4 linked regions of the Pelodiscus sinensis genome follow. The protein of the gene in region 2 purifies or fractionates together with the protein of the main gene of each other region. This does not show direct contact. Links are inferred from orthologs where the notes say so. Each region holds a gene or a part of one and is shown on either strand. Other genes may lie near its edges. The genes, in order: OBI1, CNOT1, TNKS1BP1 and CNOT6.

The links.
Region 1: the proteins of CNOT1 (region 2) and OBI1 purify together in Homo sapiens (affinity purification with mass spectrometry; 3 studies listed by BioGRID and IntAct, with this or other methods). This does not show direct contact. The link is inferred for Pelodiscus sinensis from reciprocal best matches to the Homo sapiens genes CNOT1 and OBI1.
Region 3: the proteins of CNOT1 (region 2) and TNKS1BP1 purify together in Homo sapiens (affinity purification with mass spectrometry; 5 studies listed by BioGRID and IntAct, with this or other methods). This does not show direct contact. The link is inferred for Pelodiscus sinensis from reciprocal best matches to the Homo sapiens genes CNOT1 and TNKS1BP1.
Region 4: the proteins of CNOT1 (region 2) and CNOT6 purify together in Homo sapiens (affinity purification with mass spectrometry; 5 studies listed by BioGRID and IntAct, with this or other methods). This does not show direct contact. The link is inferred for Pelodiscus sinensis from reciprocal best matches to the Homo sapiens genes CNOT1 and CNOT6.

The regions. Positions count from the first base shown.
Region 1 is NC_134711.1:265,221,310-265,228,597, reverse strand, and holds the start of OBI1 (ORC ubiquitin ligase 1), read right to left. Parts: upstream 3,008-7,288; 5' UTR 2,466-3,007; coding exon 2,394-2,465; intron 2,237-2,393; exon of another isoform or gene 2,006-2,236; coding exon of another isoform or gene 1,970-2,005; intron 1-1,969. UniProt on the Homo sapiens protein: E3 ubiquitin ligase essential for DNA replication origin activation during S phase.
Region 2 is NC_134722.1:46,505,955-46,513,468, forward strand, and holds the start of CNOT1 (CCR4-NOT transcription complex subunit 1), read right to left. Parts: upstream 3,001-7,514; 5' UTR 2,842-3,000; intron 1-2,841.
Region 3 is NC_134714.1:128,191,910-128,199,065, reverse strand, and holds the start of TNKS1BP1 (182 kDa tankyrase-1-binding protein), read left to right. Parts: upstream 1-4,137; 5' UTR 4,138-4,294; intron 4,295-7,156.
Region 4 is NC_134727.1:33,387,899-33,395,817, reverse strand, and holds the start of CNOT6 (CCR4-NOT transcription complex subunit 6), read right to left. Parts: upstream 3,001-7,919; 5' UTR 2,848-3,000; intron 614-2,847; exon of another isoform or gene 236-613; intron 1-235. UniProt on the Homo sapiens protein: Poly(A) nuclease with 3'-5' RNase activity.

The sequences.
Region 1 (7,288 bases), on a different chromosome or scaffold from region 2:
TCCGCAGCCAACAAGAGAGCAATCAGTGGTTGATATATTGGGTCTTCATTAGACCCCCTATATCGACCGCCAAGGGATCAATCACCACAATGCTGATCTCCCAGTAAATATAGCCACACTGTCAATGAACTACTCTCTCTCTCCCCTAGGCCAGAATTGAGACATTAAACTGCAAGCCGCTGGAGTATGGTCATCTCCCATGCCAATGGTCACTAACTGGTCAATCGTGATTGACTGGTAGATCCTAGGGAGTCTCCAGTTGATTGCAATCTACGATGGTGGAGCTAGATTACTAATAAGGCAGGCTTCTTTCCTGCACATGCTGCTGGCCTGTTCCCAGAAGTATCCAATGCAGCCCCTCATATGTGCATGCACAGCATGTCTTGGCACTCATCCTGCCTGCAAGAACTACTTCTTGCAGCATCCATCGGCCAGAAACAGGAAATTGTGGCCAATGGGAGGTGAGAGGATGTTGTATGCAGAAAGGGGCAGCACACAGTATCATGTGCTCCCTGCTCCCCTCCTCTAGAGGACACAGAGGCACATTATACCAGGAAAAGGCTGGACACAGAAAGTAATAGCACAGGGAGTGCTGCAGAACCCCCATGTTTGGCATCTCAAGTCCCAGCTCTGCATCTTGGCCACCCAGTGTCCCAGCCACCAGGCCAGCTGCTGTCTAGTGGCTTCTCTGTGTGCCTGGGATCCCACTTGGCTACAGGCCCCAGGGCTCCACTGCTGGCCCCAGGGTCATGACCGCTGGTCCTGCATGCAGGAGCCCTGCCCACTGGTCCTGTTGCCGGCCCAGGAGCTCCACTACTGGTGTAGCAGTGTATGTCGCCATACAAGCCTAGGATCCCACCCAGCTGCTGGTCCGACAGTCCTGTCCAGCCACACACCCAGGGGCTCCACTGCCAGCACTGGGATCCTACCTGGCTGCCGGCCCAGGTCTAGAGCATGGTGAGGGGTGCAGTTAAGCACCCCCACTCAAAACCTATTCCAGTTCCACTGATTGTGGGAGCAGCATGGGCCTGGGATAGTCAGTGAACCTTCTTTAGTCTCACTGAGCTGGCAACTGGGTGCTGCCTGGTAGGAGGCCACAACCCAACCCTCAGCCCTCCTCCAGACTGACAGAAACCCCATAGCCCCTCCCCTACCTCCCCCCCACTTTGCCCCTGTCCAGAGCCCCCTCCTGCACTCAATTACCCACTCCTGTACCCCAAGTTCCCTCTTTTCCAGGCTAGAGCCTGCAATCCCTCCCAAACCCCAATCTGGTAAAAGTGAGTGAGAGTGGGGAAAAAGCAAGCATTAGAAAAATGGAGAATGGTTAGGGCTTGGAGAAGGGGCAGGGTATATCCAGGTTACCCTTAATCCCCCCCAAAAATTATCTTTGGCTTCCAAAGGTTGGAGACTACTGCCCCATGCTGTATCTACTTTGTATGTCAGGCATCTCCTGATCCCTTGGAAATCCTATCCCCAAACCTCACTGTCAATTCGAACAAGTGTCAGAGTCCTTAGCACAAAGGCTATTTCCTAGTGGTCGTCTCTATTCACAGAATCTATTGGGTTGTGGAGGGGGAGAAGGGAAAAGGGAGAAAAAGACAGAAAAGAAAAGGAATTTGAAAAGATGGGTTCTTGAAGAAATACCAGCTTTTGGTAGCTTTCCCCAGCCTCCAACAGAAGAAATTATGTCTCAAGAAAACTTGAGTTAGGAAAATGGAACTATTTTCTGCTGCATGGACTAGAATTTGGCTTCATATTGTCTGATCTACTCTGTCCCACACCCAGCATTTGAAATGTTTGTTCAGCCATTCGCTAGCACAGAGTTCCTACCGAGCCTCAACGAACACATTACTAGTCACCACTCGAAAGTGTCCTAGTACCTCAATAAGCATGCAGGAAAAAAAGCCTCTTTATCCGGAAACAACGGATAAAGGGGAGGGGGGAAATAAAGCCTCTGGGGGTCACTCACCCGAAACGCTGGAGAGATTTCTTTTAAGGAGCGCATCGCACGTTTCCCATAATCCGAAATATGGCAATAAAACTTGCTGGCAGTAAAACACCACTGGTCACGATCCCAGCTCGGCAATCACCACCGAGCGTGGGTCCTTCCCCTGGCCTTGCATTGATCACCCATCCCCAACTTTTCTCTCTCTTTCCCCGGCGCCACTTTAACAGCTACAGCCTGTTTAAAAGGACAACACTAAATCCAGGCACATAATCCCAGTCCCTAATCATGGCTGCACTTGCCAGGCTTCTTAGAGCAGCAACCCCCCCTCCGCCCCATGAACCTCCCCACTCCAGCCCCCGTGCACATTCGCGGGAGGAGGTACAAGCCGGCTCCTCTTACCCCCGCTCGCTCTGCTTAGTAGCAGTAGCAGCAGCAGCTCCATTACCTTTCCCAGGCAAATGTGGCAGGTGATGGGCAGCGTCAGAGACAATGTTACATTCTGAACGTTCTGAGCCATTGTGGCGTTTCGAATCCCGCGAGCGCGGAAGTTCCACCAGCGGTAACAGCAAGCGGCAGCCCTCCACGCTCTACTCTGCGTACGGCAAGCCAAAGAGTCCAATCCTCAACGCAAAATAGGAAACCGAAATCGCGCTTTTGAAATGTTCCCCTGCAGGAGGCCGGGAGGCGGAGTAGGGGACTCGGGCCTTCTGCGCGCACACAGCTGCATGTTGCTGCCGTCCCGAGGGTTAGCTCCCTTCCTGCAGCTTTAAACTAGGGCTGGTATATTGGGCTAGGAAGCTGTAGGCAGGTCCCACCTGTTAACGTAGCAGCATTCACTGATCATTGTTCTCCTTTCCCTTAGGGAGGATCCATTTCTCTTTATTGTTTTTTAAGCATGTTTGCTTTGTCTGTGCAGGAGTCCCTCAGTATCTTGGCCCCCTGGCCAAGGCCTGTATAGAAAGTCAGAGCATTAGACACATTGAGCCAGGCACCAGTCTCTTTCTAATCCCACAGAAGGGTAGTGAGAAGGAGAAGTTTCCGCCCTCCCAAGTACATACCGCATTCCTGGCCCACTCTCAGAACTCTGCTGTGGTGAGCTCTAAAGTGCCTGGTTTTAACCTGTTATTTGAGGTGAGCTGAAGTAATGAACTTTTCCAAACGGTTCCTTCCCCTCATTTCCATAAAACTCAGAAGGTGGAACAACCAAGATCAAGAAGACTATGAAGATTGTAGCCAATGAACAGTGTTGCAATGTAGCACAGGACCCATTTCACCCTATCGTTATTCAATGCTTTTTTGTTATTGCTATTATTAGTGTAATAATAGTATTAAACAACTATTGTTTTGTTTTCGTTATCAATATTAATTGCTCAGGGATTGCTCTGCTTTGTGAAAGGTACAAAAGAGGACATGATCCCTGCCCTGAAGGGTTTACAGTTTAAGGATCTGATCTGACAAATATTACCAAGACTAATCAGTGGGGTAATTTAGAGTTTGTGTACACACAAAAGATTAGTTAAATTAAACTTGTACAGGTTCTCTTCTTACACTCCTCACCGATCCTTATGTGTGCAATACAGATGCTTTACACCAGTGTAGCTATTAATATAAAGGTTTTTGATGCTGGTATAGCTATTCCCATCAGAAAGGGAAATAAGTTCTACTAGAATATGGCACCTTTGTAATTGCATCCACACTATAATTTGTATTGGTATAGCTTTTTTGATAAAGACACCCCCCCCCCCCCAATAGAATACTGGTACAAATATTGTGTGTAGAACAGACCTTAAACTAGTAAACAGTAATGACTACTATATGTGTATGCAAGACTAGACCTTAGAGAAATGAACAGGGCCAGATTCTTGATATCCCCCCCCCCCCCACACACATGTATGTGGTTATTTTGCAATGCTCAGTGGGGTGCTCCCTTGAAAGCTTCTTTAATAGGGAAGTTTCCTGGCCAAAGAGAATCCCCAGGTGTCACAGAGTCAACACAGGTGGTTCTAAACCAGTGGTCACCAGCCAGTAGATCAGGATCTACCAGTAGATCTTGGAGCCTCTGACAAGTGATCCTGACTGATTTGGCTGAGAGGCTATCAAGTGCCTGCCCTTCAGTTGCCCCTCCTCCCACAGTCCAGCTGCTTCTGCCCAGAGCTGCCTCCTGGGAGCCTCCTGCTTGTTGTGCAGATTTAGGGACACAGAGGCAGGGGAGTACTGATGTCACACTGTCCCCCTTCCCTGTACCCCATTTTCACAGAGTGAGGAGGGTGGGACCTCGGTGAAGGGGTGGAGCAGGGGTACCGTACTTGGTTTTGAGGTAGATCCTGGACTAACTTAAATTCAAAAAGTGATCTTGTGCTTAAAAAGATTGGAGACCTCTGTTCTAAACTATCCATTTGGGGTCCACACTCTAATAAAAGATGTGTGCTTCGAAGAGCAGCAGCAATGTGGCCAGGGCTTCATGTGCTCTGGTGATCCTTGGTATCTAAGGGTGTGTATGGGACTGTTAATGCCAGCATACTTCAGGATGCTCTAAATTAAGGTGAAATAATCTTAGGCTCTTCTAAATTCCATTTGGGGATGAATCATCTCTCAGCCAGCTTCTGGATCAGAGGAACAGAAGGGTAGCCTAGAGCAACATTCCTCCTCTGCCAGTTTCTACTTCAAGTGCAGCACAGCTGGACTCAGAGATATTTCCCGCAATCTCCAAAATACAGATTCCCTCCCAGAAAAAGTGTAGGAGCAACTCTGCAAAAGAGGAAGAATGACCTATGAAACAAAGTTCAGAACAAAATCTCAACTTCCTCCAGCAGTAGGGTTGCTTGGATTTGGGTTCTTTTTTGGGCCCATTACTAGATATATATGCCAAGCCATAAATTTCATATCTATATGTAAACTTTCCCCAGCTATTGAGAAGTGAGGGTTTTTTTTGGAGTAAGCTTATCTCTAATTATAACTAACTGAGGCAGGTTGCTGTCTTCTAGGAGAATACACTGCTGCTATCCCTGGCATGAACACCCAAGACCTGGGGGGGAAAAGGGAAAGTCTCTGATAATCATCATAACACAGACTATGCCAACCTAAAGATTATTTTTACAATTAAACCAGCTTTAAGTGTAACAGCCAAAATAAGTCTCTGATGGGAAGCTGTGATAGCGTGTATCTTCAAAAACAATGAGGAGTCCTGTGGCACTTTTAAAAACTAAGGGTACGTTTATGCAGCAGCATTATTTTGGAATAACTTATGTTAGAATCATAGAATACTACGACCGGAAGGGACCTCGAAAGGTCATCAAGTCCAGTCCCCTGCCCTCATGGCAGGACCTAGTACTATCTAGACCATCCCTGATAGATATTTATCTAACCTACTCTTAAATATCTCCAGAGATAGAGATTCCACAACCTCCCTAGAAAATTTATTCCAGTGTTTAACCACCCTGACAGTTAAGAACGTTTTGCTAATGTCCAACCTAAACCTCCATTGCTTCTTGTTCTATCCTCAGAGGCCAGGAAGAACAATTTCTTTCCCTTTTCCTTGTGACACCCTTTTAGAAACCTGAAAACTGCTATCATGTCCTCTCTCAATCTTCTCTTTTCCAAACTAAACAAGCCCAGTTCTTTCAGTCTTCCTTCATAGGTCATGTTCTCTAGACCTTTACTTATTCTGGTTGCTCTTCTCTGGACCTTTTCCAATTTCTCCACATCTTTCTTGAAATGTGGTACCCAGAACTGGAGATATACTCCAAGGATGCGTCTAGACTGGCAAGTTTTTCCGCAAAAGCAATTGCTTTTGCGGAAAAACTTGCCAGCTGTCTACACTGGCCACTTGAATTTCTGCAAGAACACTGACTTCCTACTATCTGAAATCAGTGCTTCTTGCGGAAATACTATGCTGCTCCCGTTCGGGCAAAAGTCCTTTTGCGCAAAGCTTTTGTGCAAAAGGGCCAGTGTAGACAGCTCAGATTTGTTTTGTGCAAAAAAGCCCCGATTGCAAAAATGGCAATCGGGGCTTTTTTGCGCAAAAGCGTGTCTAGATTGACTTGGACGCTTTTCCACAAAAAGTGCTTTTGCGGAAAAGCGTCCATGCCAATCTAGACGCTCTTTTCCGCAAATGATTTTAATGGAAAACTTTTCCATTAAAAGCATTTGCAGAAAATCATGCCAGTCTAGATGTAGCCCAACTGAGGCCCAATCAGCACAGAATTGAACAGAAGAATGACTTCTCATGTCTTGCTCACAACACACCCGTTAATGCATCCTAGAATCATGTTTGCTTTTTTTGCAACAGCATCACACTGTTGACTCATATTTAGTTTGTGGTCCACTATAACCCCTAAACCCCTTTCTGCCATACTCCTTCCTAGACAGTCACTTCCCATTCTGTATGTGTGAAACTGATTGTTCCTTCCTAAGTGGAGCACTTTGCATTTGTCCTTATTAAACTTCGTCCTGTTTATCTCAGACCATTTTTCCAATTTGTCCAGATCATTTTGAATTGTGACCCTGTCCTCCAAAGCAGTTGCAACCCCTCCCAGCATCATATGATCTGCAAACTTAATAAGCGTAATCTCTATGTCAATATTTAAATCGTTGATGAAGATATTGAACAGAACCAGTTCCAAAACAGACCCCTGCAGAACCCCACTTTTTATACCTTTCCAGCAGGATTGTGAACCATTAATAACTATTCTCTGAGAACGGTTATCCAGCCAATTATGCACCCACCTTATGGTAGCCCCATCTAAACTGTATTTGCCTATTTTATTGATAAGAATATCATGTGAGACTGTATCAAATGCCTTACTAAAGTCTAGGTATCCCATGTCCACTGCTTCTCCCTTATGCACAAGACTCGTTGTCCTATCAAAGAAACATATCAGATTTGTTTGACATGATTTGTTCTTTACAAATATATGCTGGCTGTTCCCTATCACCTTATTGTCTTCCAAGTGTTTACAGATGATTTCCTTAATTACTTGCTCCATTATTTTTCCTGGCACAGAAGTTAAACTTACTGGTCTGTAGTTTCCTGGGTTGTTCTTATTTCCCTTTTTATAGATAGGCTCTATATTTCCCCTTTTCCAGTCTTCTGGAATCTCTCCTATCTTCCATGATTTTCCAAAGATGATAGCTAAAGGCTCAGATACCTCCTCTATCAGCTCCTTGAGTATTCTAGGATGCACTTCATCAGGCCCTGGTGACTTGCAGACATCTAACTTTTCTGAAATAATAAGAGTGTGCATCTACACAGCAAGCCATTATTTTGAAATAATGTCGAACTGGAGGACTTCTTACTTCAACTCATTTCTCGAAGAGTAAAGGAAGTCAAAGGAAGAGTGT
Region 2 (7,514 bases):
TGGAGGTTAGAGATTTATCTGAGCCCAAAAAATGTGAGGCCACTTCAGGAATATAAATTCCGTAAGATACTACATAAGAAACATGGAGGAGCAAAATTACTAAACTAGTTTGGAATATGGTCATATTGCCCAATCCTCCCTGTTAGTGCTACAAAAGACTGTTAAGGAAGAAACTGAAAATATGCTTCAAAGCTAAGTTAACTACAAAACACTTACTGCTTAAGCATTTAAGGCAAGAAAAAATGCACTGCATAAGCCACATGCATGACAATTTAGTCACATTACTGGGAAACTAATATCTGGATTGGAATGAGTAAATACAATTTTAAAGTAAACACTGACTAGAAGAATGATCAAGAACAATGCTCTCTCCAGAAAGAAAGATGGAGTTGTCTGGCAACAGGATGTGGGTCAGGCTGAGAGAGCCATATTTATAGGGAGACGGAGTGTAGGACAATACCAACTCAAGATGCAGGAGTGGGACCAGAAAGTACATTGCTGCACAGCCATAGAAGGCTGCCACCTATTTACAAAAACAAAAGAAAAAACTACATAGCACTTTAAAGACTAACAAGATGGTTTAATAGGTGATGAGTTTTCATGGTCTGGCCCATGAAAGCACATCGCCTATTAAACCATCCTGTTAGTCTTTAAAGTGCTACATAGTTTTTCCCTTTTGTTTTAGAAGTATCAGACTAAAGCGGCTACCTCTCTATTCCTATTTACAAGGCATCTCATCTGGGCTAGTTTTTGCCTTCATCTTATTCAATCCAAAATATTGCTACCCTGGCAACAAGCAGCATCCTGAAGTTACTTTTATGACAATTCATTCTTCGTATATAGAATTCCCTCCATATATACAGAAATCCTTGCATTTCACTATCTGCTTAACAATCTGACAGCTGCTGCTATCTTTTCATGGTTTCCACCACAGAGTCCTTGAAGTAGAGCAGACAAAGCATGTGCACTATCCAAACAGATGACAAAACCGGAGGCTTTTAAACTTTTAAGTTGCATGTACTAAATCCATATTTGACTGTCATGGTATAGTGAACTTTTACATCCATTCATTATAGGTAAAGCCACTGTAAATCACATCTCGCTCCTTTCGCAATTGTGTGCTGAACAAAATCTTTTGTGATTTGTTAAAGTTAGCTGGCAGTCACCTTTTAGTTTCAAGAGTCAGGAAGACAAGGCTATTACACAAGAAAGGAACACCCATTTCAAGGAAGCTATTTTTAAAAACAACAGTGCGTTAAGTGTTCTAGTTCTGAGCTAGGCAAATGCTAGTTAGCTGCTTATTACTGTTAATGGAAATATTTGGAAAGATTTTTTCCTTTCAGCTCAATAGCTAAATATTTTAGTACTCTGAACTTAGCCACAATTAGAGACCATGCCTTCACAGTACTTTCTATAAGAACATGTACTCCATTTTTATGAATTTATTTTTCATCAACCCAGGCAATATAATAGCACTCTTATAAACGGTGGGGCTTTCTTCAAGACTGCCTTTTACTAGACTTTCCAAGAATCCATGTCAGGTTTGCCATTCAAGAGATCATCAAAGTTTTAGAGTTAAAGAGCAGCTCTACAAAGCAGATGCAAGGGGGGGAATGCTACAAATGCAAGTCTCTGTTTACAATGCCCAACAGTTTATTTAAATCCTTAACTTAGTTTGTCCCAGAAAAAGTTTTCTTGAAGCCAAAACTGCATTTTGTATATTGTGACATTTAAAATATTCAAGACTTATTCTACTTCACTGGGATTTTTAACCTGTTCTCTATTGTGGGCTGGATCTGTAGTTACACTGGACCACATCCAGGCAACATATATACTCTACCTGCATGGCCCTGAGAAGCCATATGGAGAACTGCAGCTGTGCACTGAATTGGCTGCAAGCAGCCCACAGGTTGAAAACCACTACACTAACCTATAAACAAGCACCATTTGTGTGTTTCAAGTATGTTTAAATGAGGATATAGTCTTTGATAAAACTGCTTTTTAATAGGGCACTTTTAAGAGGCAAGGGACCAAAAAAATAATCAATCGATATTTTGCATTTCCACCAAATAGCCAGCTAGTTTTATTCCCTCCTTTAGCAAACATGTATTCTACCAAGAAGAGAACAAATGTAGCTGCTGGTTAGAAGCGATCACTGAGGGACAAGTATTCAAAGGCATGCTCCAACCCACTCCAAACCACGGTTACTCATACGGATGCAAAAGTAGCTCCAGAGGAAGGGGTTGCCCAAGTCCAACCCTCTTCACCCGACAGGGAAGAGGCAGGTTGTCCTGGGCTCCCTGCTAGCAAGCGCTTTGAGCCTGGTGCCTCAGAGAAGCGCGCAGGAGAAAGGGGAAGTTTCTGCTCTTCCCCGCCTCCCCCCCGGGCAGGGACACGGGGAGCGGGAGCACAGCCCCCCCCCCCCCCCCCACGGGGCGGCAGGACCAGCCCGAACCGCCCAGCCCTGCGGCGGCGGCGGCGCGGCGCAAACAGGCCCCCGGACACGGCTGGGGCGCGGGGCTCCTGCTATCGGGAACTTCCGGCCCCCAAACCCACCCGCGCCCCCCCGCTCCTGCTGCCAACTCGAGACGGGGGCGGGGCTCGCCTCCTCCCGACGCGCGCGGGGTCCCCGCGACAGGCCCAGGCCGCCGACTGCCCCCGAGCCCGGGTCCACTCCCAGCCTAGGCCCGAGCGCCTCAGCACCGCCCCAGAGCCCCCACCGCGCAAGCGCCCCTCCTTCCGGTTGGTTCCTGCTCGCCTGGCCTCCGGGCCCCGCGGCCCCCAAGCCCAGGGCTGCGCCGGGCCTCCGCAGCCGCTCCCCGGGCCCGTCGGAGCGCTCACCTCAGGCAGCAGGGCGGGGGTCGCGGGGCCAGAGCGGGCGCCTCGGTCAGCTTCTCGCGCTTTTATCCCCTCTCAGCCTCTCGCCTCTGCTGGTTTCAATACAAAATGGCGGACGGGGTCGCGCGCTCACGTCGCGGCCTTTCCCCTCCCCAGTCCCCTCGCGGCACGCCACGCGCAGGGCGGGGCCGCGGCCGTCCTCCCCTGCGTACGCGATTCCACCCAATCACAGTTCAGGCAGGCGGCAAAGGCGCCTGCGCTGGGGGGGGGGTTCCACCCAATCAGCGACCGGCGTCCATTCGGGAAAGAAAGGGGAGCGTTGCGTTTCTGCGCCAAAGCAAAGGCCGGACGCTGATTGGTTAATGAAAAGGAAGCCTTCCTCCCTCCCGTCGGCAGATCAAAGGTCAGGGCTCCTGCGCCTAGGCGCTGTGGCCAATCAGCGTTCGGGGAAGGCATCTGCGCTCCCGGGTCTGGCCAATGGAAGAGGAGCGCGGCTGGGCGAGGAAGGGGAAGTAAAGGAGGCCGCAAAGGGCGAGCGGAGTCATTGGGGAAGAGGAGTGGCTGCCCAGCCCTAGCGTGAGGGGCAACATCTCCCGCCCGCCACCCCATGTTGCACGGCATGTGCCTTCTGTAGGCGGAGAGCCCAATGGTACAGTCCACCTGCGCTACAACAATGCGGGCAGGCTTCTCCACCCCACTGTACCTCCACAGTGGTTCAGTCCATCACCCCTCCCCCCCCCCGTACCTCTGTAGTGGTAGGAGTTGTTTGCATCTTTCCTGTTCTCTCACACACCCCCGTGAGGCTTATATAATGGTACAGGCCACTTTGCTCTAGTCTCTCCCCTCCCCTCCCCCAGTGTCACATGATCTTCCAGCCAGCCCCTCTTGGTCTGCACATGGCAAAGGCTTGGAGCGCCTGGCACCTGCTGAGCTAGGCAGCGCCCTGCCCCGCGCCAACGCAAAGCAGGAGTCACTCCTGAAGTCAAACCAGTGTGAGACCAGAATCCCTGCAGGCAGCAGCCCCGCCTGGCTTGGGCTGGCAGCTGGTGCATAGCAGAAACAGGCCTGGTCCCCCTCCAGCCACAGCATCTCTGGATCCAGAACCAGTGCACGGAGCAGCGCATGGGCGTGAGGGTGTGTGTCAGTGCCTGGAGCTAGGGAAATGCCAGCATGGAAAACAAAATATGGTGCCACTCTGGAGCAATGCGCTTCCATGGGCAAAACCCACTGCTTCAGCCGAGATGATCTCAAAATCATCTCATCTGAAAGAAGTGGGTTTTGCCCCCCGAAAGCTCATGATACAGATATATTGTCTTTAGTCTCTAAGGTGCTACAGGTCTACTCATTTTTAAAGTTACAGACTAACACAGCTACCCCCTGAAACTCTAGACTAGGAATGGTTTAAAAATATAAAAGGTTCTGGTTACGAAAAATTACCACTAATTACATACTAAGCAAAATAGGGGACATGTAAATATTTGTTGCTATTGACTCTCACAAAGTATATTCACATTTTTTTTAAAAATCTAGCCAATATTTTTACTAATATTTAAGAAATGTCCTTGCTAAATATGTATAATAAAAGCTTTAATTTTATGAAAACACCATTAGAAACAAGATGTGGACACTTGTTCTGTAATGGATAACACCCTGTTCAATAGCTATGACTATTACATTACTGTATATAGTTTATCTAAACAAAGCTCACTTTTGTGATGATTATTGGGGGTTTTTTTTGGCTAGTATTTACTCTGCCAGCATTTGTAAGCCTGTTAAAAATTGTCCTATATACAAATAGTGTAATCAAAATGCCAGCAAGGATAGCCATGAAATGGAACAACTTATAGGAGAAGCTTGATTATATTAATAACTATCTTATAACCAATTATATGAACCATTTTTCATAGGGGGGAAAAAATCATACAAAAGTAATGATGAACAAGTTCGTGTCCTGTCACTTGCTAATGTCTTCACAAAATGAAAGTAATAGCTTTGTTTTTGTCGGTGATGGTGGAGTCCTCTGGCTACCAATAACTAAAAGTATGTTTCAGAGCCCAGGTCAGTTTACTCAGGATCATGGAACTATCAAATTGCAATGCAGCCCTTCCAGTAAAATCCCTAGCCCCTAAGATCACAGGCTCAAGCCCACCTCCCAACAACCCACATCATCCATCACCTCTGCAAATAGGGGCTCCTCTGGGATTTCAAATGGGATGTCTCTGAAGCTTGGGACCCACTTCCTCTACTAGAAGACGTCTCTCCTGGGTGCAGTGCATTATCCTTTCCAGTGGCACCAAGACCCATACAGATAGGTAAGGCTGTAGAGCAGACTCATTGTTCTAACAGCTAGCTTTTAGCTCGTGCAGTAGAAGAGGGAGGGAGGGCAATAATTTTTAAAAGGGGGCCACTTCAGAAATTTCAGAAGTGACCCCAGGCCACCCTGGAAGGAGCAGAACCTTGGACAGAAGGGGTGGGGCCAGGAGACTTCTTGTGCTTTCCCCCAAAATGCTGATTGGCCTGGGGTGGGGGAAATCTTCCCCTTCCCTCCCCTGTCCCCTAGAAAGAAAGGTCAGCTGTTTTAAAACAGCTGGCAGTTCCCTCTAGGCACCCAGTGGGAGGAGACCTCACGCGCTCCCCAAGCCAATCAGGGCCAAGGGAGCAGACAAAGTCTCCTGGTCCCCACAAGAGCGTGCAGCGTCTAGAGATACATGCCAGCTGCTTTAAAACAGCTGGCATGTTTCTCTAGCCATTGTGTGCCCCTGGTAGGGTGGGGCCAAGACACGAAAGACTTCGCCTGTTCCCCACCCCCAGCATGGTGGGGGCAGCAGGGCGGCCGCAGGCCCACTTCACTGGCTTGGTGGGCCGAATCTGGCCTGTAGAGGGCCCTTTGTCCACTGCTGCAGTAGAGGCTCCTGTGCTGGGCTCCAGAGGTCCCAGGTTCAATTCCACCCACAGGTGACCAGTGTTACACCTGCATCCCCCTCTCCTTGGAAGGCACCCACCCCATCCAGCAAGTTGCTGCTGTTGCCGAATGCACTTTAAAAAGCTTCCAACCCCTCCTCCAGCACAGGGAAAGCAGAAGTAGCCATCTGTCTGTAGGGAGCTGTGCTCATCACACCACTACCCCAGGCCTGCCACTGTCAGCAGGAGGCAGCTGTGTGTTTGAGCATGACAAAGGGAGTTGGGAGCACAAGCCCTGTTGACTTTCAATAGGACTTATGTGTCTAAGTCACTCTTGAAAAACCCAGGCTGGCCACGTGCCTAATGCAGCTGGGACGTCAGCTCCTCAGAGGTATCCCCACCCAGCAGGCTGCTCAGAGAACATGCACAGGAAGGAGGGGTGGGGAAATGTGAATTCAAGGAGCATGGGTTGAGAGGGATGGAGAATTGCCTTGTGCTGGCGCTATGGGCTACAGGTAGGGGATCCGGATGAGAGAGAATCAGGTGCGTCTGCTTTTCAATACACTGGCTCACACCCTGAGCCCCAGGAACACCGGCCGGTACCAAGCGGGGCCTCTGAGCTGGACTTTCCATAAGCGGGCGGCCAGCCAGCCCTTCCCTGGGAATGCTTAGCATGACAGCCTGGGAGCACAGCACGTGCTCCCCCTCACCCCCCGCTAGCCCCAACCAGCTCAGCCGAGCACCACCCATGCCTGTTTGTTACAGCTTTGTACACAGGATTTGAGCAATCCCCCCCCGCAGCGCGAGGCCCCAAGGGAAGAAATGCATCACGCTTATTGCCTCCTGGGCCTAGGACACCGCAGTCCCGGCTGCTTTTACCAACATACCGGCCCTTTAGGAGAAACAGAGCAGCCTCCAGTCTTTAGCCTTTACACCAAGGGCAGAGTAAGTCAACCTGCCACCTTAGTATGGAGCTTCTACAAGCCAGCCCCCCGTCTTTCACTCCTGGCCCAGCACAAGAGCAGCCAGACTGGGCCAGACCAAAGGTCCATCTAGCCCAGGACCCTGTTTTCTGACAGTGGCCAAGGTCCGATACCCCAGAGGGAATGAACAGGAGAATCATCAAGCGATCCCACCCGTCACCCAGCCCCAGCTTCTGAAATACAGAGACCCAAGCCAGGATCCCTGCAGCTTAACAGGGAGGAGGCTCTGCAGCAGAGATGATCCAGCTCCTGTAGCAATTCCTGGTTTATTAGTCACAGAGTGGCAGGTGAGAGAAGTGCACCCGCCCCTCCCCACAAGTCCAAGAGAGCATCCGGCAGTGATGAGCAAACACCTTCGGTGTGGGGGTGGAGAACCTGCAGCCCAGATCCAGCTTGTGGGGCAAGTCTCCCTTAGAGAAGCTGCCTGTATGGAGGAGGAGTCAACTGAGGCTCAGCATTTAAGTCTTGCATTAAAAAACAAACCCAGATTTTTATTTCATTTATTGTTCTACAAAACAGATCAACAGAAAAGTGTGTTTGTAAATTCTAATGAGAAGCCTTGTCCTGCCACTACAGAGTTTGCCACCCAGACACTGACCCTCTGCTAAGGCCCCCCCATCAAAATGGACAAGAAACAAGGTCAGTTTCACTTTTGTTTCTCCTCATCCACACTCAGAGAAAAGCACCAATTGCCAAGAGTAAACACATGTACAAGTCTCAGTTTGAATCATTCTAAGTGTTTAATATAATCCCCTGTGATTCTACCTTGACTGCAGCCCTTTTAACTGAAAA
Region 3 (7,156 bases), on a different chromosome or scaffold from region 2:
CCGGATGGCACAGGTCATAGGTCGCTGAGGTGAGAACTAGACTCCCCTCCCCCTATCCCTTCTGCCAGGGGCGGGGCTGGAAGGACGACACAGCTGCCCCATTGACTGGACCCAGCCCTGCTTCTGGCCCTTGCTTGCCCCCTTCTCCCTCGCGGGGCTTGTGCTGAACTCTGGAGAACGACGGGGTGCTAGAAAGCAGGGGAAGGGGGTGCACCTCCAAGCTGCCGGAGCCCCACTAGGCCCTAGCAGGGGGCCCTCCCAGCGTGCTGCGGGGAGCCGGCTGGGCGGGGTCTGTCCCCTGGCCTGTAGCCGGGCTCCCTCAGCATTTTTTATGTTCTGTTTATTTTTGTATTTCTCGTCTGTTCACGTGGCAATTGGGTGGAATAAAAACCAAGCGACTTTGGGTGGAGCTTCTGTCTTGAGTGTGGCTGGGGGACAGATGGCCGGGTCTCCCAGTGCAGAGGGAGCAGGCGAAGCCCCACGGGGTGGTCGTCTCCTCCCCACGGCCGCATTGCTGGCTGCCATCCACAGGAGCGCTCCTGCGGTGGGGTGGGGCTGAATTTGGGCCAGTGCCTTATCTCACTTCATTCCAGTAAGCTGTGGCCTTAACGGCATTAAAGGCCATCGGACACCTGTGGGAGCTGCCTAAGGAGGGAGGCGGTCGATAGCAATGAGGTTTAGTCAAGTGTTAGGGGCTCCCTCTTCTCCCCTGTCTGTGGCCTGGGCCATTAACAGGCTTAGCCGGCAGGGAGGGTTGTTCCTAAGATGGCTTTATGTGGGGGAGCCTGCCCCATACCTCCCAGTGGATGCTGGGTCCTGGAGCGGAGCACTTCCCCTCTGCCTCCTGGCCAAACCCCCCAGCCCGCTCCTGCACCTTACCTCCTGCCCTGGGGGCAGCGTGGGGGGCTCAGAGCCTCATCGCTGTCCCTTCTGGGCCTAGAGCTCTGCCCAGCTCGCACTGCCCTGAGGGTGGGGGAAGGGAGCGCGAGCGGCGGCTCATTCGTCTCCATTGCGGCCCTTGCTGCCAGGAGAACTAAGCCAAGCTGGGGGCAGGAGGCCTGATGTGATCAGAGCCTATTACCGGACCTCAGTGCTCCATTAAAGTGTCTCTGCCCCCCACTTCCAGTCACCTGTGCGTCAGCCCGTGCACTCTGCCTCGCTCTAATTGAATCAGCCCGCAGCGCCGAGAGGGCAGAGAGCCCTGTTGGCCTTGGGAGGGGGAGGAATGCGCCCCAGGGGCCGTGGCTTTCATAACCAAGGCTGGAGCAGGTTAATTGTGCAGATGGAAGCTGGCCCTCGCGGGAAATCCTCCGGGGTCCCATTTCCTTTGGCCTACTTTCTGTGGGTTATTTACCAGAAGTGCTCAGCTGCCAGGAGTAAATGGGAAGGCAGACTGCAGGCAGCCACGGCAGTGCCTCTCTTCGCGCACCGTGTGCGGCACTAGGGCCGGGCCCAGCAAGGGCGTGGAATCGAAAACCAGAAGGGACCTCTGACCACCGGGATGTGACAGCCCCTACATCCAATGCCCAAAATCAGACCAAAGCATTAAGCCGCCAGAGACTGGGCCAGTCCTCGGGCCACAGCGGCTGTGCCTTTAATCCTCTACTGTCACATCCGGCTGGAGCGTAGGGTAGACCCGACAGCCTCTGCCCTTCCTGCATTTGTCCTGCGATTCCACCGCAGCTGGGCCTACACTGCTTTGCCCTGGGAGCTGGGCCATGTAAGCAGCTGCCCACGTGCAACTGGGAGCTTTCAGGAGGTGTGGCTGCCTGGCAGGGCAACATGCAGAGATGACTAGAGTTGGCTGCCCTTTGGGATGAAATTTACAGTGAGACTTCCCAGGTGCTGTGTTAGGTTCTTCCTCAAGGCAGGGATGCTCAGCTTTGGTCCTTGGGGACTCCACAGCTATGTCTACACTGGCAGGTTCTTGTGGAAGAACCTCTTGTGCAAGAACACGTCCACACAGCCATGTGCTTTTGCGCAAGAGTATCCATGGCAGTGCGGACACTCTTGCATCGGAAAGCTCTGACGGCCATTTTAGCCATAGGGCTTTCTTGTGCAAGAAACTCCTGCTGCACGTCCACACTGCTCTCTTGTGCAAGAACGCTTGTGCAAGAGCGCTTACACTTGTTAGAAAAGAGCGTAGCTGTTGCACAAGCAGCCCTCTCTTCCTATGCTTAACTGTAAAGCTTGTGCAAGAGTTAGGGGGCCGTGTGGTCAGTGCGCAAGAACCTCCGTTCTTGTGCAAGAACCCACCAGTGTAGACATAGCCTAACAGTCCAGGACTTCAATCCAACCTGTCTTCATCTGAAGAAGTGGGCTGTACCCACAAAAGCTCGTGATGCCATCTACATGTTTTGTTAGTCTTTAAAGTGCTGCCGTGCTATTTGTTGTTTAAGTTTATTATGTATGGAAAAGAGTTGGCTTTAAAATCAACACTGCATACTACTGAGTATGAAACACTTAAATGCCCTGATTCATACTAAAGTCTATGGCCTGTGAAAACTTTTAAACAGCTGGGCTATGTCTACACTGGCGGGTTCTTGCGCAAGAACCTGCAGTGCGTCCACCTGGCCCGCCTGCTCTTGCGCAAGAAGTTTTACAGTGAAGCGTGGGAAGAGAGGGCTTCTTGCACAAGAGCTACGCTTTTTCGAATAAGTGTAAGCCCTCTTGTGCAAGAGCTCTTGTGCAAAAGGGCAGTGTGGATGTGCGGCAGGGGTTTCTTGCGCAAGAAAGCCCTAAAATGGCCATCAGAGCTTTCTTGCGCAAGACAGCATCCACACTGCCATGGATGCTCTTGCGCAAAAACACGTGGACGTGTTCTTGTGCAGGAGCTCCTGTGCAAGATGTTCTTGTGCAAGAACCCGCCAGTCTAGACATAGCCAAGTAGTCCTGTGGCACCTAAGAGGCAAACAAATATATAGCTAGTATCATGAGCTTTTGTGAGCACAACCCCCTTCAGATGAGATGAAAGCTCATAGTACTACAAATATGTTTTTGTTCCTCTCTGAGGTTTTTAAAATTACAGACTAACCTACAGGTGCCCCCAGAGAGACTTTTTATCTCTGGCCTATAGGGATTCTCTATGCAGTGTAACTGAAAACCAGCAGATTTGAATAAAAATAATTTGCTGGTTGCAACAAAACCTTAGATGGTTGGAGATCCCCCCAGGACATGAATTGGTCGAATAGGGTTTACGTTTTAAACTGTTGTTTTGCAGAACCTGCAACCTTTCAGTCAGGTCCTGCTTGTTGTTTGGACAAGCTGTGTGCGTGTGTGTGTACACACCTCCACTCCCCTCTTTACCCTTGCTGCCGGCAAAGCCTGTAATCTCCCTAGTTAAGTACGCAGGCTTGGAAAATGGCTTTCCCAGTTCTAAGGCCTCTGTGTGAGGTCCCGAGAACCAATAGTTTAAATCTTTATCTATTTACTCACACTGAGTGAGAGGAAAGTAGGAATGTGTGTGACCAATAGCCTACTAGTGCCTGAGTCTCTGGACATGCCTGAATATGGGTGAAACAGAAAAGGGGTTTAGCAGATATGGACAGACATCCTCTGTCCCAGCTATGGCCCTGGTGATTGCAGGAGAGGTTAATTAGGGAACAGACTTACAAAGTGGGCTGCCTGCAAGGGGTTTGGAGATTCCTGCCTCTGGACCTGCCAGTCCAGCATTAAAAGCATGCCCCTCTTACAGCCAGGCTGCACTGGAGAGTTTTAGGGGCACAGGGGACAAGGCTGGGTGAATAATGAAGATGTCGCTGGAGCTGCCCAATGAGGGCTGCAGTGATTTTAATTCCCAGGGGGGCTACTGACTCTGGAGTTACCCCTCCCAGCCTGGGCACGGGGGGGGGGGGGGGGCAGGCAGGCAGGCATGGAAGTGCCTGGCATGTTACCAGCTCGGTTGAACACAGACACGCCCCACATGTGAGCCTGGGGCCAGGCGCGCCCTCCCCACCTCGGGGTCCTGGCAAGCAGAGGCCGGTTCGGGCGGGAGGGGGAGGAGGAATGAAAAGGGCAGGCTGTAATGATCGAGGGGCGGGTATTCCAGTCACAGCTGGGGGGTGGGGGGCAGGAGCGGGGCCTCTCTAACCCCTCCCTCCACGGCACATCCTGCCCCATGGGTCGATGGCTTCAGCAGGGTGACACGTGGGAACGGGCGGTGTCCAGCGCGGGTGATTTGCATAACTCATGAATATGCAGCAGAGGGCGGAGGACCGCCCCGCCCTTGTTTTGCTTCTCATGAATATGCGCGGGGGGGGGGGGGTCGGGGCGGTGCCGCGCGGCGCGGAGCCCGGTGAGGAGCCGCCGGGACCCGGGGAGGGGGCGTGTGCGGGGCGCGGGGCTTCTGCCTTGGGGGGTGGGTGCTGAGCGTGCCCGGGGCTGCGGAGGCGTGTGCGGGCTGTTTGGGGGTCCCGTGGGCGGGGTGACGGGGAGGAACGGGGGGGTTGGGGTGCAGGGGCGATGCGGCTCTGCGGGGCGGATGCTGGCCGGGCTGCAGATGGGGGGAGAAGGGGGCTTGGGGGTTTGGAGACGTGGGGAGTCGCAGAAAGGAACGCTCAGCAAAGTTTGTGATAACAGCTGTGGGGCGGGGGAGCTGCGGGGGGGGGGGGGAGGCGCTGGCAGCAGGGAGGGAAAAGGGTGGGCGAGGGGCAGCCTATGGGGTCCCCCTGCTGGCCGCAGTGTGTCACGGAGGGGGGGGGTCGCAGTGCGGTGTCTTGGGGGTGCCCCATACTAGATTCTCTTGTCTCCAGCCGCACCCAGGGGCTGCTCCGGGCTGTGGCCAGGGCCTCTGCCTGCCCTGGAGGATTCACACTGATCCCTCCCCTCGCTGACCCTTCCCTTGGGCCCTTGCCAAAGCCGGGCCCTGGACCAGCTCCTAGAATCGCCTCCGAAGAGCTGTGTGAGGCTGTGTCCCTGGGAGCGGCCAGTCTTGTCACTGTGCCACCCTCAGCCACCTGGCCCTCCGCTTGATGCCCTATCGACCCCTGTGCCCTCTTTCCTGACCACCCACCCCCTGCACCTCCATCCCTTCTCCTCTCCTGCTCCCCCTCTCTCCCCTTTCCTCACCCTGGCTTGGTTATCCCCTGGCTACGTAGCTAATCAGATTCTCCTTCCTGCTGGAGGAGGAAGGCGAAGGCTCAACTTTGCCTTTCACTCTCCTGGATTCTAGCTCCAGGTGAGTGAGCGCTTAGCTGGGCTGGTCCCTAGATTTGCAGGTGCCAGAGTCCCTGCAAGCAAGGGCCTTGCCCTGTCCATTACGCTGCACTGTTCCCTTGAGCCGAATGGGGCCCTCTTGCACTTGTCCCTTTGCCTTCCCCAGGCTTGGGCCTGGTCTGCTCCACAGAGTTGATCACATTCTGTCAGTGTCAGGGTTCCCACTGACAAAGCCTCCGCTACACCGACCTAATATCTCCACCTTTACAAGAGGCCTAGCGCTTAGGTCGATGTAGTTAGTATGCTGCATTACTTCTATTGCCTGGAGCTGACAGCTGGAGCCTCCTCCCCTACCCAAATTTTTTAAAAAAAGTGTTTGGGGGTCCCACGGGCAGGGTGAAGGGTAAGAACAGGGGGTGTAGGGGTGATGGAGCTCTGCAGGGTGGATGCTGACCAGGCTGCAGGTGGTGGGGAAGGAGGCTTGGGGGTTTGGAGGCATGGGGAGGAGCAGGAAGAAATCACAAATTTTGCAGAGTGTAACAGCTGTGGGGGGAGGTGCTGGCAGCAGGGAGGGGGATAGGAACACCTGCAGGGAAGAGGGTGGGGGGGAAAAGGCCCTAGCTCTGAGCTGGTGGCTCATTTTCTCAGTAGGGGTTCAACCAGCAGTGAAACTAACATTCTTGTCAGTTTCACGGCTGGTATTAGTTCACAAGGTGCCCTGCAAGAGCTCCTAGGGGAGATGCGCACCACCAGTAAGGAAGGTAGCATAGACACCAACAGCTGATTCAATCGCTGTGGAGGTTGTAGGTCAACCTAATTGAAGTTGACTGAATTCTGTGGTATAGATAAGCCCTTGGTCTCCTACGTGCCACCTTTAGCTGTGACCATGACTAGCTGCATGTCCCTTTAGACTCCTCCCTGCTCCCTCCCTCTGTCTGTCCTAAGACAGCTCTTGGCTTGAACATGAGGTGGAAGTCCTGCCTCAGAGGCCTGGCAACTCTTGGGTATTCCCTCCTCTGCTTCAGCTTGCTTGCTGCTTGCAACTTAGGGCTCCTCGTGCCTGAGCTGCCCTCCATCTCCCAGCCTGGACTCCACTTAAAACCTCTGTGCTGTGCTGCAGTGCAGATGCTCTAGGCCAACGGGAGGGAGGTTGGGAGCGATGTGGATCCGAGCAGCTCTCCTTCCGTGCACTCTACCCGGAGGGCTAGGTTGGTGTAATTATGTCCCGCTCAGTGGGGGGTTCACACCCCTAACTGACGTAGCTGTTCTGAAGTCAGTGTGTCGTGCAGACCTAGCCTTACTCCGGCACACTTTCTGCACTCGTCGGTGTGAATAGTCCCAGTGTAGTCATGGCTAGGTGGGCAGGCAAATGCTTCCCTCGGCCACGGTGCTGTGGCCACAAATATGGAACCTCCCCATCAGTCGCTGTAGCCCGTGTGTATGCTACAGCAACAAAGCTACGGCATCTTCGCTGTGACGCCTGTAGTGTGGACAGGGCCTCAGTCTCCTTTGCTTGTTATGTTGTCTGTGAGCTCCACCTCTACTGAGGCTCCTCCCCCAAGATCGCCTCTTGCCTTGATGATTGTTCCCTTCTCCATGTCCCAGCATGGCCAGAAGCTGCCATTCACCTTCTGGCACCTACGCAGAACCCCAACCATGGCTCCCTATTCTTGGACTTCTCCTTTGGGACCGTGATCGGCTGTAGACACGATCTATGTGGTTGGTCCTATTCTCAGCCTCGTCCTATGGCCCCTCTTACAGAGGATCACCCTAGACCAATGTTCCCTCTAATCTTTTCCATTCATGTGCAGAATAATTTTCTGTGCACAGAGGCATGTGTGAATGTGCACCACCAATAGAAACACAACGCCTAGCTGTGGGCACTTGGCTAATCGGTTGGGACTCTGTCTTGAGTGGCCACACAAGCACATGGCTTATATAGGGAACACCGCTGTAGACCCTTCTAAGTCCTATGACTCTGTGAAAAGGTGATGTAGGGGGT
Region 4 (7,919 bases), on a different chromosome or scaffold from region 2:
TTTGGAGGCATTTCTTCCAGTTTTCCAAGCTGTTTTCTCCATTTTAAACAGTACATTGGATTTACTAATCATTTTTTTTCTTCCTCACTCCTAGAATATCCAGATCTTAATATTTTTACTTCTCAACATTTACCACTGTGAACCCAGTTTAACAAGGCTTCTTCAAACTTGGAAACACTACATTTTTTTTCAAAAAAGAAAAGATCCGATAATATAAAATACCGAAAGTAGTTACCTGCCCATGCAGTATTATAGTCTCATCTATCTTTATATTTCAGTTCTTCCTCTAACATTCAAGCAAAGTAAACAGCCTGTACACATCAAGGATGCACCCAGCGTTCAACTTCAATATGCAAACAGAAAAAAGATGCATAGTAGTCTCCTTTTTATAAATGGACTGATCCAAGCGATTCAAGTGGAAAGTGAATAAAGCGTAAATCCAAATGCGAATGGCTCCATTTCAGTAATAGCGTGAATAAACCCCCACAGAAGGCTTCATTGCTAGCAGCAAACTCCAGAGTCCAGATGAAACAGCAGGAAGAACACAGGGCAGATAATCCTGTAAAATTACCCCAGTGGAAATGTTGATAAATTCCCAATTACGAGACCTGCTCTAGGATGAAAAAAATGCAAGATACAATAAAATTACCAATCAACACTTGCAAACCTACACACATAAACCAGACAATTACCACCGGTATTCCTACATTCTTTGATTTTTTTTTTATCTGATACTCAACTCAGTGAAATTCAAATAAATAAAATAACCTCCTGAAACTAAACAAAGGAAGAACTGAACAACCATTACTGGTTATAAATCAATTGCCTTCCTAGAGTGTCATATTCAAGCAATTCTTGTCTCTACATTACTAATATATTTTAGATCAAAAGAACTTGAGCCATTTTTCTGCCCCCCCCCCCCCCCATATTAAGATTGGATGGGACAATGAAGCCAGTTTCACAAGAATTTTTTTTTTAATTTACAGACATTATTGATCAGATTATGTAAAATCTTACCTCTAAAAATCTCAATTTTGAGCCAAATACAGGAATTGGCATGTAACAGGTTTGCTAACCTCACTAGTGGGAAACACAGCAACTTAAAATTCTTCACATTTGAAAGCATGTAGTGTAGCGAAAAATAGATCTAGCATCTAGTTCACAACTGCTTACTTCCTACATGTTTGTCTCAGAGTCTGACAAATACAATAGCAATCATTCTCCAAACCGTCAATTACAAAAGTAATTGCCTGCTCATGAGCTTAGTAACCCTATCAATTGGATATTATTATAATTTCCATGATTAACGACATACACACATTTTTTCATATAACAACACTGCATAAACTTGTCTTTGGAGTATGTTTCCCAGTTCCCCATTGTTTACGCCCTACATGTGTGTATCCCAGTGTCTCATTGGCCCAACCACTTATCTGCATGTCACCACAAGTCCTGCCCTCCCCAGTCATTTCATTGGACAGCAGGATTGACAATCACCCTCTAACACTCTTCCTTTCTACTTCAGATAGATCTAAGCAGTTGCTGCTGTGGCCTCCTTATTGCCAGCTAGGCCTCAGTTTTCAGACTATCAGCAGCAAATGAAAGGGGAGGCTTCTCTCGGAGCAGAAAACAGATTTTGTTTACAAACCAATTTTGCTTGTTCACAAAATAAGACTTACAAAAAGAAATACATCAGCTTTAAATGAATTCAAGTCTCTCAATGCAGAGGGGTAGGCTGATGGAAAATTGTGGTCTGAATGTAGATGGTCAATTATCATACTGATGTCATTTCCTTCTGTCTTCATGTTTAATTATTTTAAACTCAATTACACAGGAAAAACGCTTTTAAACTTCCAAATGCCATTATACTAATTTCAAGTCCATTGTCACTGCCTCTTAATTGCTTTCTCAATGCGTGTAAGCCTTTGAAACGAGAATAAACCTACTTCCTCTGAAAGAAGCCCCCACCTTTCCTCTCACTGCAAAACCACCCTAATATAATTACTTTCTAAATGCCAATAAATATGGGGTACAATAAGCTATTGAGGGAAGGAGGCCCTTTGCCTCTGGGCTCTCTTATTCTGTGGATAAGCTTCCAGTCTAATTCCTCTTGAAAAGAAGCCCCATTTCATTCAAGAGTTTCTCATATCACCCACCCACTCAAGCCCCCTTCCTTCAGCGCCTCCCTGCCCCAGCTTCCAGCAATAATGCTTCTCCACCGTTTCTTCCCCTCCACAATGACATCCCCTCTCCTCCCTCAGGCCTGCTGCGAGAAATACCCCTTCCCAGCCTCAACTCCCCACCCCCTGGAGTATTAATCCAGCCCCCTGTTCCTCAGAGCAAAATCACTCGTCGCTTCCCCCCCCCCCCCACAAAGCCCCCACAGAGCTTTTTCCAAGGGATTAACCCCCCCCCCCCCAACTCAAATCAATACTACTTCTCAGGCCCCGGAGCAATACTCCCATTCACCCCACCACAGACCAAGAGGTCTCCCTCCCCCACAGCAATAATCCCCCCCAAATTCCCTAGCAATCTGCCCCCACCCAACCGCACCTTGGAACCAATACACCATTCTCTGCCCCCCACCCAGGGCACTTCTACCCCTTTGGCCCCCAACACAGGGGCGCCCGTGTGCCCCCCCCCAGTAATACTTCTTCCCCCCATAGCGGTGATACCCGCCCCCTCAAAGCAGCAGTACTCCCCTCCCCCAATCACCCCCCCCCCCCTCGGAGTAATAATACTCGCTCTTTCCACACACACCCCGCCCCGCAGGAATACGCCGCGAGACTCCTCCAACAAGAACCACCCCGCAGGGTAAAGCCCGGGGGTCCGCGCTCCTGCCCGTACCTGTGGCTGCAGCATCCCCGTCCCCCCGCCGCCCTCTCTCCGCTGCCTGCCTGGCTCTTTGTTTCCTGCCGCGGGCCGGACGGGAGAGCAGCTTCCCCCCCGCCTCCTCCCCCTTCTCCTCACACGCATTGAAAGCAAACAAGCATCATGGCGGCAGCGGGCAGGCCGCCCCCCCCCGCCCCAGCACCCCGCCCCTCCGCAGCGCCGCGCGCTGGGGCCGCCCACACTCACCGCACGCCGCGCGCGGCGTCTCTGCGGCCTGGCCGGGCCGCGCTCGGAGCGTCCCCACAGCCCAACGGACCGCGCGGGGGGGGAGGGCCTCGGGGATCTGGGGGGTCCGGGGGCCCTGGGGGGTCCGGAGGGGGGATGGCTGCGGGGGGGTCCGGAGGGGGATGGCCTCGGGGATCTGTGGGGTCCGGAGGTGAGATGGCTGCGGGGGGGGGGTCCGGAGGGGAGGTGGCTGCGGGGGGGTCCAGAGGGACCTGGGGGATCCGGAGGGGGATGGCCTAGGGGATCTGTGGGGTACAGAGGAGGGTGGCTGCGGGGGGGGGGGGTCTGGGGAACTTGGGGGGTCCGGAGGGGGAGGGCCTCGGGGATCTGTGGGGTCCGGAGGGGAGGTGGCTGCGGGGGGGTCCAGAGGGACCTGGGGGATCCGGAGGGGGATGGCCTAGGGGATCTGTGGGGTACAGAGGAGGGTGGCTGCGGGGGGGGGGTCTGGGGGACTTGGGGGGTCCGGAGGGGGAGGGCCTCGGGGATCTGTGGGGTCCGGAGGTGAGATGGCTGCGGGGGGGTCCAGAGGGACCTGGGGGGTCCGGAGGGGGATGGCCTAGGGGATCTGTGGGGTACAGAGGAGGGTGGCTGTGGGGAGGGGTCCGGGGGACCTGGGGGGTCCGGAGGGGGATGGCCTCGGGTTTCCGGAGGGGTATGGCCCGTGAGGTTTGGGGGAGCCCGTAGGGTTGCGGGGGGGGGGGTGGCTGCGGAGGTCCCTTGGTGTTCTGGAGGCGGGTAGCCCGTGGGGTTTGGGAGGAGGGTGGCCGCGAGGGGCCCATGAGGTTCCGGGGGGCCGCGGGGGTTTCAGAGGGGGTAGCTGCGGGGGGCTCGTGGGGTCCCAGGGCATGTTTGGAGGAGCATATTGGTGAGATCTGAGTAGCAGTGTAGTGCATGCAGTGGGACAGGGGACAGCATTGGTCAATGTGTATGGTTGAAAACAAGCTTGGACATAGCGTGTGGGGTTTGTAGGAGTGTTTTGGAGTAGGTAAAAAAAAGGTGCGGGATCACTGAGGAGTTGGGTGAACAGGTGGTGTGAAGGTGTTAATGGGGAAGTTGGAGGGTGCTGTGCACGAGTGGTTGAATAATTGGTAGAAAGGGACAAAAAAGCAAGTACATAACGAAAATATTATTAACACGTTAGCATTCTGGGAATGGGGAGATCAAGTAGTACTTGGCTGTAAAAAAGTTCCTGATATGAGGGCTAGAAAGAATATTGAACAGTATAAGGAACAAAGTATTTTATCAAAAAGTAATGACCTTAAAAGAAGTGTGTAAGTTCTTGTATACAAGAATGAGAAGTATGAGAAAGAAATCAACAAGGAAAATGGCCTATTTGCTCCCTGGATATACATTTGCTAGCATGATGCTGATTTTTCATTGGTGGCTTCTAGGTGAGCTATAACAACAGCGAGTTATCTGCAACGAAATGTATAACATTAGCAATTTATCTGAAAATTTTATTGCAGAGATGGGAAGCAATAAGAGGAACTAGTTAGCATAGACTTATCTGTTCAACTACGGGGAAGAATAGTATACAGCAGAGGTGGGGAACCTCAGGTTTGGGAGCTGCATGCAGCCTCCGGCTTGCCTGGATCTGTCTCCGGAGGTTCAGGGCCTCCCTCACCCAGCACTGGGGAGCCCATGCTGCCGCTCCAGCCCCCTCGCTGCCTCATCGCGGGGTTGGAGCACACAAAATCTACTAGTCTGGGTCCCACTAGGCTCTGGTGTGCAAGGAGAGTGTAGAGAGTCTCATTCCTCAACCAGGGACCACGTTTTTTTGGTTTGAGATTTTTTTGCTTCTCACTTGTGTGCGGCCCCTCCGACAGATTTTAATGTGGGTCAGTGGCCCTGACCCAAAACAGGTTCCCCATGCCTGCTCTAGATCCTCATATCCAGGCTATAGAATCATAGAATACTGGGAGGGACCTCAAGAGGTCATCAAGTCCAGAGGTTGTGGAATCTCCATTACTGGAGATATCTAAGTCTTGCAGGTTTTTTCAGCATTATACCTCTCAGATGCAGCATTTTCTATCCATCCAACTAAAATTCCTGTCCAAGCTCTCCTTATCTAGTCTTAGTCACTGAAACATTCTTCTGTCTGACTTTGACTAATGCAACTTTTGTCCTACTCATATCCATTCAGCATTGACATAAAGATCATTTTCCTAGCTTTTTCTTCTGACAAACCTTTTTGGACCCTTCCACAGGACCCACTTTTCCATTGCATGAAACATAAGCTATTTATCCTCACTTTGAACGCCCTTCATGGTCTACTCCTAACTTACAATCGTAGTCACTATTGAGATGTCAACGCCCGTCTCCAATCGGTCTACGATACCAGCTTCCATCACTCGTGTTAAATTTCCAAACAAGCATCTTCTGTGCTTTCTGTCATGCTGACCTCATGCTTGAGAGAAACATCAGCACAAGGATTATCCCTCTTCAAAGCCTTACTTAAAACTTTATCATGGTGTCTGCAAGAAACTTGATCAGTCAGGCTGCTGCTGTACTGTTTCTTTGTACTCCCGTCTGTCAGTCTGTAGCCATCTGTTGTGTTTTGTTATATGTAGGCCATATCTACACTAACACTCATGATGGCAAAACTTTTGTTGCACCTCAATGTGAAAAACACAGCCCTGAGCAACGCAAGTTTTGCCGGCATAAGAACTTATGTGCACAGCACTACGTTGGCAGGAGATGCTCTCTCACCAACATAGTTACTGCCATTTCTTGAGCAGGTTTTATTATCTAAATGGGAAAGCTCTCTCCCATCAGCATAACGTGGCTACATGAGTGCTCTTACAGCAGTACAGCCACTGTAACCTTGTAACTGTAGACATGGCCTTTACAGGATACAGGTTTGAGTGACGGGCAGGATGAGGGTGTTGTCCAGAAATGAGAGATTGAGTGACTATAGGTGTAGTGAAATCAAAATGGCCCAACATTGGTGTCATGACAGTGAAATGCTATTTTTATTATGCACCATTTGATCAGAAGAGATAACAAAAGATCATCATCATCATCATCCTGGAAGTACAGCCTGGGTGTGAACTAGGAAAGCTAGTAAGACAAAGCCTTCAGGTGTCTAAATTGAAGTAGAGGCATGTGACAAAAAATAAAGCAAATTGTAGTTCTGTGGACGAGGAACAAGATTGTTCTTGTGCAATATTATATGTTAAAAGAACTAGAAAGGGAGGGACTGTTCCCTTGCTTGCTTCTGAGCAATGCATATGATATTCTTTAAAAACAATGACCATACACTTATTACATATGTAATCCTGGTGAAAGACTTAGCAATCTTCACACTTGTAATAGAGCTAAATAAATGATTTCCTTCTTTGGCTCTATATTTTGGACTTAGTCATGGTATATTTTAGGCTTCTGTATATGAAAGCTGGTTTTTTTGCTCCACCTCATGTAACATCACTTCTCAAAATGTTTTCTGATAACCAGCTACCCCTTCAGATATTAATAGTCACACATACTTAAGTTGTTAATACTTTTTAGAGTAAATATGGCCTTAATGGAATGTATCCGTCTGTCTGGAATTCATTTTCCAAAAGGAATAGTAAGTCTTCAAATACATAATGGGTTTTCCCAAGAATTGTTACTTATCTAGGAGGAGTCAGTTGTTCATAGCTCTTTAGCCTGTGGGAGATTGCATACCTGGGGTCTGATACAGGTACTGGGATATAATGTGTGGAGTCTTTCATATTTAGGCAGTATCTTGCAAAGTTAGGTGATGACCAAAAGTTCATTATCTAATATCTGCCTTAAAAATGTTGACATTGCAAAAACATGTGTTACTTGGTAGAGATGTGAGTGACTAGTCGACTGCCTGATAAGCAGGGCTTGACAATCTCTGTAATATACTCGCCCGTTGTGAGTAGATTACATCCCGGAAGAGCTGGGTTCAGGCGATCTGCGCATGCGCAGAACAATCTGTGCAGAACGCCGAACAACGCGGCTTGGCAAGCCCTGCTGATAAGCAAATCTAGTTTCTCTTCACCACCACCACCACCCTGCTGCCTCTATCAGAGAGAGGCAGCAAGGGGGGGAGCAGGAGCCGGTGCTGGGGGGAAGGAGCGGCAGAGGCACAGTGGGGAAACAGCATGAGCAGGGACTTGTGCCAGGTTCTGACTGCGGCACTCCTGCTTTTGAAATGTAGCAAGAGCCCCACTACTCGATTAGCTGAGTAGTTGAAATTTAACATCCCTGTTACTTGGCCCACCTGTTGATCTCAGTAGAGCTCAAAGACCATGAATGGACAATGGAACCCTTTTCACTCTGGTGTTGCTCCTCCAGAATAGGTAAATAGCTGGAGCAATGTGGGAAAGCTGATATTTCCATTACCCTTGTCCTTGTTCATAGATTATACCAAGTCTCCTGAGTTACAGACGCTATTTTTTCACACGTATTAAAAATAGATAGGGAAATGATCCAGTGATTTTTGCCCTGATCATTTCAAATAGAGACCAATTAGCAAAGTAAATTTTGGATCAGGGCTACTCAACATGTGGTCCATGGGCCATATGCAGCCGGCAGCCTGTTTGTTTGCGGCCTGCAGCACAGTTTGGGTTTATGTGGGGCTAAGCATGCGACAACACGGGTGGAAGCCAAAACAAAAAAGTAGTCAATATAATGGTCCTCTGTTGATAAGCATTTTAGTAGTTAAATTCCTGGACTCTCGTTGCTTATTTAAAGTGCTGTCATATGGGTGGAAATCAGGTAAATATTGCATTTTTGCAGAACTCGTGTAGTGTGGCCCCTGGGGTTTCCAAAGTTAAGTAGCGCTGTTTTAG